5 linked regions of the Callithrix jacchus genome follow. The protein of the gene in region 5 purifies or fractionates together with the protein of the main gene of each other region. This does not show direct contact. Links are inferred from orthologs where the notes say so. Each region holds a gene or a part of one and is shown on either strand. Other genes may lie near its edges.

Region 1 (3,514 bases), about 4.0 Mb from region 5:
AAGTAAACCAATGTAAACTCCCTGGCTTGGTGTTTAGGCAATTGCTTGTGTTTCCAATATAAGTGAGTTAGAATCCACATTAGGTAATGGACTGTATACTCCTAATTGGCTGTGACTGAGCCCACCTAAGGACAATAAGGAGCTGCTCAAAAAGAGCTTCTCATGAGCATGAGAGATGATAGGTCTTTCAATCTGCCTTCACAGTCTTATTCCTTCTGTGCATGGTTTGATTTTGGGATAAACTAAAATAAGCAAGAGAAACATGGACTGTATTACTTTTAGCTAACTTACTGAATCAAATGCTTCTGCAGGTCCTAGTTTTAGAATGACACTAAGGCAGTCTTCCAAGCATGTCAATATTTCTTTGCCAGATAAATGGCAGACCAAAAAAGGATATGGCCTGGGAGATAGGAACAGAAAGGGACCACACCCACCCCACACTATGCACAGACATAGGTATCACTTCTGACACAGCATCAAGACTCCTCAGATTCCTTACCTCTCCTTCAGGAGTGTCTGAAGGACAGAGCATTCCCCACTGAGACGGCTGGAGGGAGCGAGGACCACTCACTTTTCTTGTTTTTTCAAACTGGGAAGAGATTCTTGTCATCATGCCCAGTGCAGATATATATGACAAGCGAGACAGCACTTGGGTCACACCCTGGCGGTCCATTTTAAATCTCTTTAGAGACCAGTTTCCCTGTAGGGAGATGAAAGACACAACACTATTCCTAATCCAATCCTATGTTGTCTGATACTGTGCAGTAACTACAGGAAGTTCATTACAGGAATTTCATGCTTTCGAAATTAGAACCATGCACATATTCAGAAATCAAAGCATCACAATTAAAATGAAAACTTAGTCAAGTCATTCACTGGGGATTTCTAGGAAGATAATGAACATTACTATGTCTAGCAACCATCTCAGAAGTGTCTGATGCATCAACCTTACTATATCAGAGCAGTCACCTTCTGAGGAACTAATTCTATACTGAAAAGCCAGTTCGACCAGAGATTTCCATGGGAAGTCATAAACTAACTGATAAAACACCAGCAACAAAGAGATCATTTCATGTTGGAATGTGCGATTATTTGGATGTTTTCCAAAGTTACTCTTAAGAATAGCAAAATGTAGCAACAGAAAAATAACTCTGATAGCACTTATTTGGGATAATGAACAAACTGATGGCTTCCTAATCAAGGTTTAAGGAATCTAAAAATAGTATATATATTCATATTAAGAAATATATATTCTCTGTGGCCACTGTATCATTATTAAAATAGATTCATATGAAATAAATCCTGAATAATAAATTTACTTTATCTTCTTATGCATTAAATGTTATATTATTTTAAACATATTATTTTATAATTGTATATATTGAAAATATCCTCAAGGAGAACTTACAGATTAAGGTCAAAAATTTTTCAAATGTAAATTCATAGTAACATGAATTAATAGTAGAAAACAGTATTCATCAAAAAAGCAACACAGGTTGAGTGTGGTGGCTCACGCCTATAATCCCAGCACTTTGGGAGGCTGAGGTGGGCAGATCACTTGAGGTCAGGAGTCTGAGATTAACCTGCCAATGTGGCAAAACCTCGTCTCTACTAAAAATACAAAAACTAGCTGGGTGTGGTGGCACATGTCTGTGCTCCCAGCTACTTGGGAGGCTGAGGTGGGAGGATCAATTGAGCCCAAAAGGCAGGCAGAGGCTGTAGGGAGCTGAGATTGCACCACTGTACTCCAGCCTGGAGGTAAGACCCTGTCTCAGTTAAAAAAAAAAAAGCAAAGCAGACAATAATATGTGAACAGAATTGTTGACTCAAGTTTTCTAGTTCCAAAAAGAACAACTGCACCTGCCATGGTTCTCCATTCCTCCTCAGAGGACCCAATCAAAGCTAGGAGTGTTCTCTTGAGAAAAATGCACATAGAAACAAGAACAAAAATTTAATATTCATTTTGGACTCTTGTGGATTCCAGATTAAAAACCCTTGTAGCAGAAAAATTGCTAGGGTTTCAGGAAACGATTAGGTGATCTTTTGCATTAAAATATGTAACTTTGGGGGAGCTCCCTCACAAATTAAAGTTTGCTCACTATTACAGTCAAGATTGATCACTTTGGAACCTTAAGTTTCTGAAATGTGGAAAAGAGCTAAGCTCTAAGAAACTCTATTATAAGGCAAATAAACAGAGCAACCATATATATTCCACAAATTAACCTCTCATATTATTACTTATTTCATTAACTCCTTTTATCCTCGGAGGGAGAATGAATCTAGTAAACTGACTTATGCCCAGAGAGTAAGAGTAAATAAGGTAAATAAGTATTCAGCACACAGCTAAAATAAGGCAGCAGCTGTTGGCAAGTAGCAAGTAGATGGGAGTAAAGCCAAGATGTTCGGCAAGAGAATTTGTTCTTGTATTCTGCAGGAGTATTACAAAGGGGAGAGACGAGAAACACAAGAGGTCTAAAACTGGTCCTTTGGGGAAAACATATTTGGTAAAAGCATTCTGCTAATAGCAACTCAGAATTTTAAAGGTTGATCTTTTTCTGTTGCCTAGAGTGGGATACACCTGTAACTAGGCCTGCTACTGATTTTTGTAATAAGCAGTTCTGTCAGGGAGGTAAAGCAGTTTCATTTAGGGGAAAAAGAACTACTTAAAATAGCTCTTTTGACCTGAAAATCATGGGTGAAGAAGCAAGAAAAAGTAATTCTAAGAGAAGTGTGTTCAAGCACTCTTTGGAGGATTCTCTTCAAATATTCAGGATCCACCTCAGACAAGTTCGGACCACCAGAGTTTATATGCTTAAACAGGGACAAAGGCGTGGTTCACCTCAAATTTAGATATAGCTGTCATTGCAAGGGCCACTAAGACCCACTATAAAGTTCCAAAGTCAAGTATTGAAGCGAGTCTGCAATAATTCTTTCATCATTAAGGGAATCAACATGGCAGATTATATCATGCTTTGTTGGGGCAAAATCTCATCCATAAAACTAATTTTATGTCTGGCATACAAAACATGAACCAGACTTCATCAGATAGACCTATAGTTGTCATGCTTTAAGAAAGGGAGCAAAAACCCATCTGATAACCTTTTATGAATAGCCTGAGACCCTGACTACACAGCAGCTGCCGAGAGCTGAATTCATCCAGAACTAAATTCATTGCTTATGTGAGGAACAGCTGATAGGTCTTTGAAGAATATAAAACTCCTGTGAAATGAAACGTTTTGTATTATTTTGGACAAAAGGTTGCTAACTAAGAAACCTGTCTGAAATGTGTCAATTTTACTACAGAAGTAAAAGAGGAAAGTTTTCTTTAAAAGAATGGTTATTAACAGTTAAATGAAGATTTTTCCGCTACGCATCAGTATCTATTTTCTTATTGCCTCATATAACAGAAACTATAATTTCGCAGGAAAGTTATAAATAAGAAAATTCCTATTGATGACACTTCAGACTTTCTTTCAAAGTAAAAATGTGTGCTTTGTAAACATTCCTTTTAATA
Region 2 (4,021 bases), on a different chromosome or scaffold from region 5:
TTTGATGTGGCAACAGAGAAATGTTATTTGGAAAAGGAGGATACAGGCCAGGCGCGGTGGCTGACGCCTGTAATTCCAGCACATTGGGAGGCCAAGGTGGGTGGGATCACTTGAACTCAGGAGTTAAAGACCAGCCTGGGCAACACAGTGAAACTCCATCTCTACGAGGTGGGGGACGGGGGGAGCGGGGAAAGGCATGGTGGCATGCATCTGTAGTCCCAGCTACTCGGGAAGCTGAGGTTGGAGCATGGCTTGAGCCTGTGAGGCAGAGGGTGCCGTGAGCCGATCCTACCACTGCAGTCTGGGCAACAGAGAGAAACCTCGTCTCCCTCTTCTCCCCGCCTCCCCCCAAAAAAAACAAAAGAAAAAGGATACGAAATTGTGATAGAATATGACAACTTTGTGAAGACTACTAGATATATTACAAAATTTTTAATAGTAGTACTCTACGTGGCAATCGAATAGAAATGATTTCCTTTCCTCAAACTCCCCGTAATATTGTTACATGGTTTTTACATGGTCTGGGGGGTAACATTAAATGACACTTTTTATGTGAAATCACAAACATCGGAGTCAATCGAAGTTTTTCAAATTCCAACAGTAGAGCAAACTTGGTATTCCGATTCCGTGCAGGCTTTCACCAAGAGCGCACATGAGGGCCACCGCCGTCGTGAGCCCAAGGCGGTTGTGACTGGGTACCGGTTGGTCCATTGCGGCTGTTCCAACGCTGCCCCCCACAGCCTCACCCCTGAACCCCCCCAGGAGCACAGGGAAGGGGGTCCTCAAAAGTGGGCGAGGCCGCTGCCCGCAGGAACTGTCCACTTCAAGGTCACCATGGAGAACCCGAGACGGGGCTCGGCGTGGCCCAGGACTCCCCAACTTTGAGTTCAAGTCTCGCTCTCTGCGCCGCGCCCCTCGCCCCATCCCGAGCAGCGACCCCAAAGCTCCCAGGGGCTCCGCCGCGGCGATTCCTCACATTGCGCGTGGCGGCCAACAAGGCCCAGGAGCCTGAATTCGGCGCCTCCACACCCCCGCCCGAGGCCTAAGACCCCCGAACGCCACGTCACAGCGTAGCCCAGAACAGTAGTCCCCTTATTCTTTTTCGCCCTCTCAACCCAGCTTTTCCCGACTCCGGGAAGAACCGGGAAGAGAAGGCGGAGGGGAGCGAAGCGCCGCCTAATAAATACTGTGGCTCAGTCCCGCCCCCAGAACATCACTTCCGCCCCGCGCCAACATGGCGGCGCCCAGACCATGCCACGCAGACTTCCGTTCGGCGCGGAGACCGAAGGCTAGCTGCAGGTCGCGTCTCTGGTGAAGTCGTGAGCGTGGTGTGGGGCCGCGGTCCGGGTGAGTCCCTGCCTGGTTCTTGGGCGGGGGTCCTGGAGACAGGGCGTGTCACGAGGGCTCTCACCTGGGTGGTCTGGGGAGTCTTGCCACGTGGGAGGGGAGGAGCAGAGACGCCACTGGAGGACGCGCTGAGTGGGGAACCGGAAGCCAAGTGGGTGGGGTTCCGCAAGGGTCCGCGTGTCAATCCCCTCTGGTCATCTCGTTGTCCCTTCTTTGCCAGGCAACATGTCGGAAGGAAACGCCGCCGGCGAGCCCAGCACTCCGGGAGGGCCCCGACCCCTCCTGACCGGGGCTCGGGGGCTCATCGGGCGGCGGCCGGCGCCCCCCCTCACTCCCGGCCGCCTTCCCTCCATCCGTTCCAGGGACCTCACCCTCGGGGGAGTCAAGAAGGTACCCAACGGCGCGTTTCTAAAGAAACTCACCTACCTTGAATTCCAAGCCGCGAGATTCAACTAATGTTCGTGTAGGGCCTACTGTGTGTCTGGAGTATTGTTCGGCCTCACGCCTACTCCTCTTTACATTCTAGGGAGCCTGTCCTACCTTCAAATCTAGGTACTGAGTACAGATGTTGAAATGATTCTCAGAGGTGGTTGAAGGATAGAGAGTCCTAATTAGTTAACGTTGTTCAAAAGCAACTTGAACAGTGTTTATTTACTTTCATTGTGTGTTTGGACATCTATAACAAGCCCATGAAAGCCAGGCAGGCATAAACCTCACAGTCTTAGAGAGTTCAGAATTCAACATCTCAGTGTGCAGACTTTTTATCTAGAGTATGATGAATCCTAGGCATAGCATTTGAGGCTCTGTGGTCTCCCATGTGCATATGATTGTGGATGTCAAGAGTAGCTCTGAAAGGGGTAGGGTCAGGATGGCAGGAGAATAAAGCAGTATTTAAAAACCTAACTTTGCGACTGGGCACCACGGCTCACGCCTGTAATCCCAGCACTTTGGGAGGCCGAGGTGGGCAGATTACCTGAGGTCAGGAGTTTGAGACCAGCCTGGCCAGTGAAACCCCTACAAAAAATACAGAAATTAGCTGGGTATGTCTCTAATAAAAATACAACAATTAGAAGTGTGGTGGCAGGTGCCTGTAATCCCAGCTACTCAGGAGACTGAGGCAGGAGAATCGCTTGAACCTGGGAGGCAGAGGCTGGAGTGAGCCGAGATCGTACCATTGCACTCCAGCCACAGTAACAAGAGTGAAACTCCCTCTCAAAAGAAAAAAAACACCTAACTTTGCCTTGGAAAATTGTGACGGTCTATAATCCCCTGATTGAGAGTGTTGGCAGATCTGTGGTCTTCCCTACTTATGTCTTGGTGCTAGAGCTGTTCTCTCATGATACTCACTGGTCTCTATAGCAGTTTGAAGATGAGAGGTGAGACTAGAGAAATTCCTTTGCTTTTAGAAGTCCCAGAGGGTATTCTTTCAGAGGCAGAACCTAAGGCTGCTGGTTAAAAATGAGGTTTGGTGCCCCTTTCTTTTATGTGTAACTCCACTGCCACCACACCATGACATTCCTTCTTTTCAGTCACATGTCTGTCTCTGTAAAGCGGACAGCACTGTGGAACGTGCCAAAGACAACCATGTTGGCCTTGGTTGGTAGACAGTGCCCTTTGGGAATTTTTTTTTTCCTCTGTACTTTGGGGTCAGGACCTAACACATCAGTGACTCCTGTATTTTGCTTTCAGAAAACCTTCACCCCAAATATCATCAGTCGGAAGATCAAAGAAGAGTAAGTAGCTAGGCCTTCTGAATACTTGCCCCTTATTTACTTTCTCTGAATATGGGGCTTTGGGGGAAGTAACTAGGTTTGTGGCTCTGACAAATTTATGTTTTTAGTTCTTTTCACTGGTGATTTTCAGTCCTTGCTTCTAGGTGATTCTGATGTGTAAGTTTAAAAAAAAAATATTGGTGTCTAGGGCTCCATCTCTAAAAATTGTGATTTAATTTGTTGGCAGTGGAATGGAGTGATTCTCTTTGATGGCCAGAGTTGAGAGCCACTAGTTTAAACAAAGATGTATCATACTTTCCTTGAAGTTCCTTTGGATTTCTGCCTTCCTGCTTTCAGTCCCAATGCAAAAAAAAAAAAAAAAATCTACATTTTTGGACAAGGTAAAGTAAAGCAAACTGAAAAAATCCTGCCTCATCAAGGAAGTGAGAAAAGTGCTAGAATTAGAACTGGATTCTGCTTCTCATAGTGTAATTATTGGCTCAGACTCTCCACTGTCTTGGAGTGAGGTGGTATGGGAGATTAAGGCCAGTTTTCGGAGACACAGTGAGTGAGTGGTTTCCCGAATCCATTCTCTTTTCCAGGCCCAAGGAAGAAGTAACTGTCAAGAAGGAGAAGCGTGAAAGGGACAGAGACCGACAGCGAGAGGGGCATGGACGAGGACGAGGCCGCCCAGAAGTGATCCAGTCCCACTCCATCTTTGAGCAGGGCCCAGCCGAAATGATGAAGAAAAAAGGTACGAAGAAGGAATCAGTAGTGAATTTGAGTTCAGACTGCCCAAGAGAAGGGCAAGAGCAGTGGAATTTCCCTGCTCCCAGTTCAGTTTTCCTTGCTGTTGGCATCTTCCTGATTGATCCCTAGTGACCCGGGTGATTTCCCACAGGAAACTGGGATAAGACAGTGGATGTGTCAGACATGGGACCTTCTCATATCATCAACATCAA
Region 3 (3,514 bases), on a different chromosome or scaffold from region 5:
TTTTAAACAATAGCACCTTGAAAACGCCAATCCATGCCAAGCCTTCTATGAAAAGCCAACGCAGATTATCAGCCTGTTTTGTTGTTCGTTTTTTGGAGACAGGGTCTCACTCTGTCACCCAGGCTGTATAGAGTGCAGCGGTGCAACTGCAGCTCACTGAAGCCTCAACCTCCTGGGCCTAAGCAATCCTACCTCAGCCCCACACGTAGCTGGGACCACAGTCACGTGCCACAATGCCTGGCTAATTTTCTTGCGAAGATACGGTCTTGCTCTGTGCAGCCTGCTGTTATACTAACTGGTGCACTAGTACCTGACTGAAATCAAAATAAGCAACATCTAGGAAATGAGACAGGACAGTCTGCCGGCTAAACAACACTATCCTCCCACTCCTTCTATGCCCTCCCCTGTACTGCAGGAGACAGAAGCCTGGGAACTACATTTCCTCATTCTAGAAGGGGTCTGGGTTAGAGTCCACCACTGAGAAGCTGCCACATGGGTTTTACAAGGTGAAAGGGAGAGACAGGGAGGGATGCGATGCCACGACTATCCTAACAGAACAGGCAGGTGCGTGAGCTTTGAGACCTGAAATTCTACAGCAGTCTCCCCACATCTTCTGGCAAAGCACCACTTTTTTTTTTTTTTGAGACGGAGTTTCGCTCTTGTTACCCAGGCTGGAGTGCAATGGCGCGATCTCGGCTCACCACAACCTCCGCCTCCTGGGTTCAGGCAATTCTCCTGCCTCAGCCTCCTGAGTAGCTGGGATTACAGGCATGCGCCACCATGCCCAGCTAATTTTTGTATTTTTAGTAGAGACGGGATTTCACCTTGTTGACCAGGATGGTCTCGATCTCTTGACCTCATGATCCACCCGCCTCGGCCTCCCAAAAACCCACTTTAATGTTGCAGATTGCTGTTCATCTCTAGCTGTTTCCTGCAGTTCTACCAACTTTGTGACTCTGAAAACCAGTGGTATAGGTCTCAGCTCATGGAAGCACCTAATCCCCTCTATTCCAGTCCATCCTCCTTGAACCTGGAATAAATTCTGACTTATGTAAGCAGCACCCAACAAACAGACGAGAGAAAAACAATACTCTAAATACCTCATAATTCTGTTTCTGCTGTTTCTGAAGTGCCAAAGACTCTTCTATGGAGAGCAGCTGCGCGGGCGTGTGGTGAAGGGGCAGAAGCCGAGCTGCTGTGATGTCATCGAGGTGCTGCTTATCCCTGCGCCGCCGCTCTTCTGCGGAAATGGGAGACCTTCTCTTCTGACCGTCACCAGATGAATCAATTTGTCGAGAAGGTAATCTGATAAAAGGAAAACTTGTGTCACACAGACTATTTTCTTTATTTGTAGACACATTTAAACCATTCACACAAAAGGCCTTTAACCTTAGCAATCAATTCTCCTCCAAAGGTAATAGTAAGCAGTTTCCCAATATTCACTGCGCTGACAAATAGGAGTGTGTTTGCGCATACAGGCTCTTTGCCTTTTCCTTCATCAAACCTTATACTTTAACTGGAGCTTTTCTTTTTTCACTTATTCATTCAATGAACATTTGCAAAAGGGTTTACTGCCTCGTAGAGAGAAATAAACATGTAAAGTTTCAGTGCGATATAATACCAGAGGTACTATGACAGATACCTCAACGAGATACACTGGAACATAAGGAAATGGCCAGTTCCCGTGGGAGACAGGGAGGTTGTCAGAAAAGCTTCCAAGAAGTGACATTTGAACAGTCTTGGAATAATAACTGCTTACCCCTTAAATGAGGAGAGAAGTGCATCCCAGCAAGGGGAGTGAGAGGAAGCACAGCAGGCACAGACACCCAGCTTTTCTGCTATACAGAAAAGACGGCCACAGAGAGGGCTGGGAAGTAGGATGAGCCCAGACTGCAATGAGAAGGTCAACAGAACAAGTTCAGATTTCCATCTTAAAATTTCACTCTGGCAGCAGTGGAGACTGACTGCTAGTTAAACTAGAGGCAGGAAGAAGCCACAGTTGTAGCCCAAGAGAGGGGAGTGTCTTCACTCTGACAGAAGATGAAGAACAATTATACAGATGAAGATCAAGGAAAATACATTACGTAGGTCTTCATGGTGAGCAGATAAGGAGATGAGAAAAATGAAAGATACCTTGGGGGAAGAAAACCAAGAAGAAGGTGGGGACACTATTAGAGAATATGGAAATTACCTTGGAAAGAAACAGGGGTGCCACTTTGTACATGATTAAGCTGAGATGCCAGGGAACACCCAAGTGGTCAAGTGTTATGGCTAATTGGCCATGTAACCCTAAAACTTCTGGAAGATCTGGAGTAGAGGTAGACAAGGGGCAGCCTCCAGCATCCAGGTGATATACGAGGCCAGAAGAGTATGCAGAAGGAAGAGCAGAAAGGCTCAAACGGACACTCCCTAAGCCCATTTTCCAGCCTCCAAGCCACTTCTTACCATGTGTGTAGCCTCTGGACTCCTCAAAGCCCTGCCTTTCCTGCTCTCCTTTAACTACACAGGAGGCTCCCTCTCTCTTAAACTTCCTGCACTCTTGGTAACCCTCATCACTATTCCCTTATCTCCCTCCAACTCCTACATAAATGACCATAATACAGAACTGGGATTAATGTATTCTTTGTTGTATTTATTGGCTAGATGACGGTTCTAGTTTTCTACATGTCATCCTGGAAGTGAAACGTGTACTTCACTGTATACAAGAGATTACCTGACCACATTAATATACTATAGTCCTGATTTTGTATTCAGCAGAAATCACGTTTTCAGGTTAAAATGAATGCTGGGGTTGAGTTAAAGTGTAACAGAAAAGACGCATGTTTTAGGTACTTTTCGCTAGAGGTCTTCTGTTTTTCAGAGAATGGTAGTAGTGATTTAACGGTGCATTTGATGTTATGTACTTGTAAATACAGCACGGGAAGGTAGCAGTTACCCGAGCTGAATGTTACATTTGCTGCAAGTAAATAGCAATTCTTTTCAAAAAGATTTTATTTTTCCTGAAATGTCAGAAATAAATTTATGGCAAGGAACTGATAAGCAGAGTTTCTGCCCATCCTGCATGAATCTATTTTCACAGTTTTCAAACCGCTTCTCAGCTTCCTTCTCCCTGAAACTATTAGTATGTAGTTTAACTCTTTTGCAAGTGTGTAAACCTTGGGTCTTCATCCAGCTCCTAACCTCACTGAAGAACAGGGAGTTTATTACATTATACGTGTATACATTATGGCCATGTTTTTAAACTTGAGATACAACATTAATAAGGCAAAGGAGTTTAAGAATTTTGACTTCACTGTGTCCCCACAACACCTGCTGCTTGCTTACATTTAGTGAGCATGCACATCTCTTCTGCTGGAAAGCCCATGAGCTCCAGCTGCAACTGCCTTCCCCTTAGTTCACAGACTAATCACAGTGAGTACACTTTGATAGTACACTAATCAGAGCTGTACGGTAAAAAATGGTTCCGAAAAAAAGAAGTCATAATAAATTCTCTCTCCAACCCTGTTTATTAGGA
Region 4 (4,127 bases), on a different chromosome or scaffold from region 5:
AGTGAGTTGATCTATAATCTGAGAACAGAAATTGTAAACTGTATGTGACTCGAAGTCACATCTCTCTCGAGGCTTAAAGTGGTTTTTGGGATTCCAACAACTTTTTTTTTTTTGAGATGGAGTTGTGCTCTGCCGCCCAGCCTTGAGTGCAGTGGCACAATCTCAGCTCACTGCAACCTCCTCCTCCCAGGCTCAAGCGATTCTCCTTCCTCAACCACCAGAGTAGCTGAGATTACAGGCGCCTGCCACTGCGCCCAGCTAATTTTTTTTTTTTTGAGATGGAGTTTCACTCTTGTTAACCAGGCTGGAGTGCAATGGCGCATTCTCAGCTCACCGCAACCTCTGCCTCCTGGGTTCAAACGATTCTCCTGTCTCAGCCTCCCAAGTAGCTGGGATTACAGGCATGTGCCAACATGCCCGGCTAATTTTTTTTGTATTTAGTAGAGACGGGGTTTCACTATGTTGGCCAGGATGGTCTCGATCTCTTGACCTTGTGATCCACCCGCTTTGGCCTCCCAGAGTGTGCTGGAATTACAGGCGTGAGCCACCGCGCCCAGCCCCCCCCTTTTTTTTCAAGTTGGGGTTTCACCATGATGGTCAGGCTGGTCTTGAACTCCTGACCTCAGGTGATCCACCTGTCTCGGCCTCCCAAAGTGCTAGGATTACAGGCGTGAGCCACCGCGCCCGGACTGATCCCTTCTCTTAGAAAAGAAAAAAGAAAGACAAAGGTCTGGTGTGGTGGCTCATGTCTATAATTCCAACATCTTGGGAGGTTGAAGCGGGAAGATCACTTGAACTCAGGAGTTGGAGACCAGCCTGGGCAACACAGAGACTCGGTCTGTACAAAAAAAAATTTTTAAAAATTAGCTGGGCGTGGTGGCACGCCTGCTGCCCCAACTACTTGGGAGGCTGAGATGGGAGGATCGCTTGGGGCCACGAGTTGGAGGCTCCAGTGAGCTATGATCCCGCTAGTGCACTCCAGCCTGGACAACAGAGACTCTCTCTCTGCCCAGGGCAGTGAAGTACTTGGGCCTCCAACAAACATGTGTAGATATATATTTGCTGAATCGATTTGCTGCACTCTGTTATAGCGCTTGACTTATGGATTCTTTCACTAATTAATCTCGTTATAAGTATTTACTGAGTGGTTGTTATAGTTTGTGCATTAAGAGAATTGCCTTTTGAGGCCCAGGTTGGGCGGGCGAGGGGCGTGGCTTTAGTGGTTCCCGCCCACGACAGCGAGGCCCAATCAAACCCGCGAAGGGGGTGGAGTTCCTCCCTCTGTCGCGGCCGGCCCGGAACTGGGGTTGCTGAGGCTATCTGTGCTTCCGGTGGATTCCCGGAGGCGGCAAGAGGTGTGGATTTAGCCTCGCAGACTGCTCTGGGAAGATGTTCTACCACGTGAGCAGGGCTCAGGGTGGCAGCAAGGGCTGGGTGGGAAGGAGGAGCAAAGCCGGGCGCCGGCGCGAGGGGCCCCTTCTTGCCCGATAACCTCCCAGCGCCTGGCCTGGTCGCCATCCCACTTTTCTCCGCAGATCTCCCTAGAGCACGAAATCCTGCTGCACCCGCGCTACTTCGGCCCCAATTTGCTCAACACGGTGAAGCAGAAGCTTTTCACCGAGGTGGAGGGGACCTGCACCGGGAAGTGAGTGCCGACTTCACCGCGCAGCCAGATCGCACACACGAGGCGCTATACCTGCAACCCCTCCCCAGCTCCTGCTCGTCCTGCCACCCACTCTGGGGACCTCTCTCACTCTCTCAGGCTGCCAGTTGTTTCCTGCTTTGGGTTCCCAGGACTCCCTCTGCAATGCTGGCCGATAAGACTTCCTTCCCTCCGTTGAAATTAATCATTCATTTACTCCTCAAACATGTTAAAAAAATCCTTGCTGTGTGCCAGGACCCGTGTTGGGCCCTGAGAACAAGATAGAATGAGACCAGCCCTCGTGGAGTCCACAGTGTAATTACTGTTCTTGTGTCTGCTCTCCCTCTGTCATTCTGCTGGTTTTCTCTTATCCCCTGTGCCCAGGGACCACACACCATGGGCCTCAATATATATTCTGAATGAATGACCAGAAAAGGCAGATCGAGTTGGGGGAGGAAGGAAGCAGCTTGGGACTTGAACATCTCTGGGCTTTGTGCAGAGGAGCCTCTCCCAGGGTGGTATTAATGACCCAGCCCAGGGCAGTGGAGTTACTTGGGTCTCCAGCATCAGAAAAACCTGGGGTGGTTCTTGAACATGCAAATTCCTGAACCTCATTGTTTCCTACAGAATCAAGATTCTCTGGGGCAGACCTGAGAATCTGCTTATTTTTTCTTTTTTGAGATGGAAGTCTCACTCTCACCCAGGCTAGAGTCCAGTGGCACGATCTCGGCTCACTGCAACTTCTGCCTCCCGGGTTCAAACCATTCTGCCTCAGCCTCCCAAGTAGCTGGGATTACAGATGTGCATAACCACATCCAGCTAATTTTTGTTTTGTTTTTTTTTTCTTGTGATGGAGTTTTGCTCTTGTTACCCAGGCTGTAGTACAATGGTGTGATCTTGGCTCACTGCAACCTCCGCCTCCTGGGTTCAAGCAATTCTCCTGCCTCAACCTCCCGGGTAGCTGGGACTACAGGCACGCGCCACCATGCCCAGCTAATTTTTGTATTTTTAGTAGAGACGGGGTTTCACCATGTTGACCAGGATGGTCTCGATCTCTTGACCTCGTGATCCACCCGCCTCAGCATCCCAAAGTGCTGGGATTATAGGCGTGAGCCACTGTGCCCGGCCTTAAGTTTTGTATTTTTAGTAGAGATGGAGTTTCTCCATGTTGGCCAGGCTGGTCTCAAACTCCTGGCCTCAGGTGATCCACCTGCCTCGGCCTCCCAAAGTGCTGGGGTTACAGACATGAGCCACCGTGCTGGGCCAGAGAGTCTGCATTTTAATAAGATGATTCTCAGGCATCCCAAAGATTGGCCCCTGTTGGCTCAAGGTCTCCAGCCATCTTGGACATTTATTGTGAAATTATCAGAGCAGCATTTGGCCTAATACATACTGATCTGTGTCCTGTCTTCTCTTGGTCATTAAGCTCTGGTAACTGAGGTGCTAGCAACTTGTCCTTTTGTTCTCCTTGACCCTCCTCCCAAAAGCTCAGTGACTTTTACTGCAGAATCTTTAGAGGCTCATGGACACAAAATGCCGTTTGTTTCTCCTCCTCCTTGCAGGTATGGCTTTGTAATCGCTGTAACCACCATTGACAATATCGGTGCTGGTGTGATCCAGCCAGGCCGAGGCTTCGTCCTTTATCCAGTTAAGTACAAGGCCATTGTTTTCCGGCCCTTTAAAGGAGAAGTCGTGGATGCTGTTGTCACGCAGGTCAACAAGGTGAGACCATACATAGGGGAGCCAGTGGGGTAGTCTCTTGGAAGATGTCGTTGGGTCCTGGCTCCACTTGATAACTCTGTGCCTTCAGCTAAGTTACTTTACTTTTTGTTTTTGTTTTTTTTTTTTTTTGAGACAATTTTGCTCTTTAACCCAGAGTACAGTGGCACGATCTTGGCTCACTGCAACCTCTGTCTCCCGGGTTCAAGCGATTCTCCTGCCTCAGCCTCCTGAGTAGTTGGGGCTAAAGGCATGTGCCACCACGGCTGCCTAATTTTTTTTTTTTTATGGTAGAGATGGGGTTTTGCCATGTTGCCCAGGCTGGCCTTGAACCCCTGAGCTCAGTCAGCCCACCTCAGCCTCCCAAAGCACTAGGATTACAGGCGTGAGCCACCATGCCTGGCCAGTAACTTTTACTTCTTGTGCTTCACTTTAAAATTGTATGGCAATCTGGCCCTGTGTGACTCAGAGGGCAAGGGAGTCATTTATAGTCATAACAATAGAAGCCTGCATTGACTGAGTAGTTACTATGGGCCAGGTAATGTGCAGAGACCCACAGTGATTTTACAAGGTGGGTGCTTTTTTACAGAAGTTGAAGCTTAAGTTAAGTGTACTGGTCAAGATCATGTGCCCAACCAGTGTTCAAATCTTTTTTTTTTTTTTTTTTTTTTTTTTTGAGACGGAGTTTTGCTCGTTACCCAGATTGGAGTGCAATGGCATGCTCTTGGCTCACCGCAACCTCTGCCTCCTGGGTTGAAGCAATTCT
Region 5 (3,514 bases):
AACACTCATTAATTGGCAGAAAACTAAAATGTGAAGAACCTTAATTTTTCTTTCCTTTTTTTTTTTCTTTTTGAAACAGAGTCTTGCTCTGCTGCCCAGACTGGAGTGCAGTGGTACGATCTCAGCTCACTGCAACCTCTACTTCCTGGGTTCAGGTGATTCTCTTGCCTCACCCTTCCAAGTAGCTGGGACTACAGGCACGTGCCACCACGCCCAGCTAATTTTTCGTATGGTTAGTAGAGGTGGGGTTTCACTATGTTAGCCAGGATGGTCTTCATCTCCTGACCTTGTGATCTGCCCACCTCGGCCTTCCAAAATGCTGGGATTACAGGCATGAGCCACAGTGCCCGGCCTTGTGGTTTTTTTTTTAGACATGGTCTTACTCTGTTGCCCAGGCTGGATTGCAGTGGTGTGATCTCAGCTCACTGCAACCTCCTCTTCCCGGGTTTAAGCAATTCTTGTGCCTCAGCGTCCCAAGGAGTAGCTGGGACTATGGGCGGACACCACCACATCTGGCTAATTTTTTTTTTTTTTTTTAATTTTAATTTCAATTTTTGTTGAGATGGAGTCTCACTCTGTCGCCCGGGCTGGAGTGCAATAAATGGCGCAGTCTTAGCTCACTGCAACTTCCGCCCCCCAGGTTCAAGCATTCTCCTGCTTTAGCCTCCCAATTAGCTGGGTTACAGGTACCCACCACCATGCCCAGCTGATTTTTGTATTTTTAGTAGAGAGAGGATTTCACCATTTTGGCCAGGCTGGTCTTGAAATTCTGATCTCATGATCCACCCACCTCCCCCTCCCAAAGTGCTGGGATTACAGGCGTGAGCCACCACGCCCAACCATTTTCCTGTGTTTTTAGTAGAGATGGGGTTTCACTATATTGGCCAGGCTGGTCTTGAACTCCTGGCCTCAAGTGATTTACCCACTTCAGCCTCCCAAAGTGCTGGGATTATGGGCATGAGCCACTCTGCCTAACCCATAGAACCTCATTTCCTACGTAAAACTGAATAGTTTGCTTGGGATTCCTATGGTGGCAGTACCTTAGGTTTTATGATTGCGTTGAGAGGCTGTGGGCTCCTTAAAAATGTGTTGGCTTTTATTTTTATCCATCTTATGGGGAAACTCTGTTACCTCTAACATATTTGCTGTTTCTTAAATTCTTGCAATACTCTTTATGTAGGTCAGATTGAGTTGTACACTCACCTGCCTGTGATGAAACAGCTGGTCCAGCAGCTCGAGCAGTGGGAATTCCGAGTCTGTGGAGTTTTTCTTGTTGATTCTCAGTTCATGGTGGAGTCATTCAAGGTCTGAACCTAATTCTCTTATAGATTTTTTTTTTTCTTTGAGACAGTCTTACTCCATTGCCCAGGCTAAGTGCAGTGGCATGTTCTCAGCTCACTGCAAACTCTGCCTCCCAGGTTCAAGTGATTCTAGTGCCTCAGCCTCTCAAGTAGCTGAGATTACAGGCATGCGCCATCATGCCTGGCTAATTTTTGTATTTTTAGTAGAGACAGTGTTTTACCATGTTGGCCAGGCTGGTCTCAAACTCCTACCCTCAAACCTCAAGTGAGCTGCGTTCCTCAACCTCCCAAAGCCTCTTACAGATTTTTTTTAACTATGAGTACAAGCAGATGACAATTTCCTTTAATTATTGTGTGATTATGGATATTTCACAAACAATTCCAGAATTACTTAGTATCCCTTTGTTATTAAATTATCATGATAATATGTTATAACTCAAAAGTAGTAAATTAAGGTATCGTAGAGATTTAGGAGGAACTAAGAGAAGATACTGAGGTGGCCAGGCACAGTGGCTCACACCTGTGATCCCAACACTTTGGGAGGTCAAAGTGGGAGGACTGCTTGAGCCTAGGAGTTCCAGTCCTGCCTGGGCAACAGTGAGACCCTGTCTTTACAAAAAAAATACAAAAATTAGCCAGGTGTTGTGGCTTGGGCCTGTAGTCCCAGCTACTTGGGAAGGAGGATTGCTTGAATACAGGAAGTGGGAGGATCGCTTGAGTACAGGAAGCAGAGGTTGCCATGACTGAGATGGCCAAGATAGCACCATTGCATGCCAGCCTGAGTGACAGAGCAAGAAAAAAACTGAAGCAGATAACTATTTAGCTATTTTATAAAAGTCTATTTTAATTTTCTGAGGACTTTTTGTCCAGTTTATGAACTATCTAGATCAAATTTTATTTTATTAGCTCTTAAGGAATATTAGATGGGAAAAGAAATTAAAATGCTGTCTAAATTGACATTTGTGATCACTGTATGTTATCTACATCTTCCCTCACCTTTGGGAACCAAGAGTCAAACACCTAATTAGGGAACATTTTTTTCTGTATGGCTAGCATTTCTTTTAATAAAGTACAAATAATTTTGCCTTTTCCACATGTTCTGAACTAGAATTTCTTTCTTTTTTTTTTTTTGAGACTGAGTTTCACTTTTTTTGCCCAGGCTGGAGTGCAGTAGCATGATCTTGGGCCACTGCAACCTTCACCTCCTAGGTTCAAATGATTCTTCTTCCTCAGCCTCCCGAGTAGCTGGGATTACAGGCACTTGCCATCACACCTGGCTAATTTTATATTTTTAGTAGAGACAGGGTTTTGCCATGTTGGCCTGGCCGGTCTTGAACTCCTGACCTCAGATGATTGCTCACCTCAGCCTCCCAAAGTGCTGGTATTAAAGGCATGAGCCACCATGCCCAGCCTGTATTTCTTTTATTTAGGCCAATTCTGTTTCAGTGAGGAATAGAAGCCTCTTTGTGCAAAGACCAGGTAACTTTGTTGGCAACAGTCAGTTCATCTTCCCTTTTCTGTTTCCTCCTTCAGTTTATTTCTGGCATCTTGGCAGCCCTGAGTGCCATGGTCTCTCTAGAAATTCCACAGGTCAACATCATGACAAAAATGGATCTGCTGAGTAAAAAAGCTAAAAAGGAAATTGAGAAGTGAGTTCACTGTTCTTCCATTATTATCAGATCTCAATTGCAGAGATGAACCTTCTGTTTTATTTAGATGGAAAATTTGGTTGGTTTATAAACCTAGTCTCCTAAATTCATCAGTCTTTCTATCTTTTAAAGGTTTTTAGATCCAGACATGTATTCTTTATTAGAAGATTCTACAAGTGACTTAAGAAGCAAAAAATTCAAGAAACTGACTAAAGCTATATGTGGACTGGTAAGCTTTTAAAGTTTGGATTTTTTGGCCAGGTACAGTGGCTCATGCCTGTAATCCTAGCACTTTGGCAGGTCAAGGCGGGAGGATTGAGTCTAGGAGTTCAAGACCAACCTGGGTAACATAGTAAGACCCTATCTCTTAAAAAAAAAAAAAATTAAAAATTAGGCCGGGTGCAGTGGCTCACGCCTGTAATCCTAGCACTTTGGAAGGCTGAGAAGGGTGGATCACCTGAGGCCAGGAGTTTGAGACCACCCTGGCCAACATGGTGAAACCCTGTCTCTACTAAAAATACAAAAAATATATACATATAGCTGGGTGTGGTGGTGCACACCTGT

The links.
Region 1: the proteins of GPN3 (region 5) and POLR3B purify together in Homo sapiens (affinity purification with mass spectrometry; 3 studies listed by BioGRID and IntAct, counting the BioPlex papers as one, with this or other methods). This does not show direct contact. The link is inferred for Callithrix jacchus from reciprocal best matches to the Homo sapiens genes GPN3 and POLR3B.
Region 2: the proteins of GPN3 (region 5) and POLR3D purify together in Homo sapiens (affinity purification with mass spectrometry; 3 studies listed by BioGRID and IntAct, counting the BioPlex papers as one, with this or other methods). This does not show direct contact. The link is inferred for Callithrix jacchus from reciprocal best matches to the Homo sapiens genes GPN3 and POLR3D.
Region 3: the proteins of GPN3 (region 5) and POLR2M purify together in Homo sapiens (affinity purification with mass spectrometry; 3 studies listed by BioGRID and IntAct, counting the BioPlex papers as one, with this or other methods). This does not show direct contact. The link is inferred for Callithrix jacchus from reciprocal best matches to the Homo sapiens genes GPN3 and POLR2M.
Region 4: the proteins of GPN3 (region 5) and POLR2G purify together in Homo sapiens (affinity purification with mass spectrometry; 3 studies listed by BioGRID and IntAct, counting the BioPlex papers as one, with this or other methods). This does not show direct contact. The link is inferred for Callithrix jacchus from reciprocal best matches to the Homo sapiens genes GPN3 and POLR2G.

What each region holds. Positions count from the first base shown.
Region 1 is NC_133510.1:109,299,173-109,302,686, reverse strand, and holds part of POLR3B (DNA-directed RNA polymerase III subunit RPC2), read right to left. Parts: intron 701-3,514; coding exon 500-700; intron 1-499. UniProt on the Homo sapiens protein: Catalytic core component of RNA polymerase III (Pol III), a DNA-dependent RNA polymerase which synthesizes small non-coding RNAs using the four ribonucleoside triphosphates as substrates.
Region 2 is NC_133514.1:19,238,667-19,242,687, reverse strand, and holds the start of POLR3D (DNA-directed RNA polymerase III subunit RPC4), read left to right. Parts: upstream 1-1,221; 5' UTR 1,222-1,347; intron 1,348-1,567; 5' UTR 1,568-1,572; coding exon 1,573-1,737; intron 1,738-3,036; coding exon 3,037-3,080; intron 3,081-3,661; coding exon 3,662-3,813; intron 3,814-3,960; coding exon 3,961-4,021. UniProt on the Homo sapiens protein: DNA-dependent RNA polymerase catalyzes the transcription of DNA into RNA using the four ribonucleoside triphosphates as substrates.
Region 3 is NC_133509.1:3,682,802-3,686,315, reverse strand, and holds part of POLR2M (protein GRINL1A), read right to left. Parts: intron 1,306-3,514; coding exon 1,101-1,305; intron 1-1,100.
Region 4 is NC_133511.1:120,037,591-120,041,717, forward strand, and holds the start of POLR2G (DNA-directed RNA polymerase II subunit RPB7), read left to right. Parts: upstream 1-1,318; 5' UTR 1,319-1,389; coding exon 1,390-1,401; intron 1,402-1,535; coding exon 1,536-1,645; exon of another isoform or gene 1,646-1,928; coding exon of another isoform or gene 1,929-1,957; intron 1,958-3,204; coding exon 3,205-3,364; intron 3,365-4,127. UniProt on the Homo sapiens protein: Core component of RNA polymerase II (Pol II), a DNA-dependent RNA polymerase which synthesizes mRNA precursors and many functional non-coding RNAs using the four ribonucleoside triphosphates as substrates.
Region 5 is NC_133510.1:113,347,035-113,350,548, reverse strand, and holds part of GPN3 (GPN-loop GTPase 3), read left to right. Parts: intron 1-1,180; coding exon 1,181-1,305; intron 1,306-2,834; coding exon 2,835-2,950; intron 2,951-3,082; coding exon 3,083-3,179; intron 3,180-3,514. UniProt on the Homo sapiens protein: Small GTPase required for proper localization of RNA polymerase II (RNAPII). May act at an RNAP assembly step prior to nuclear import.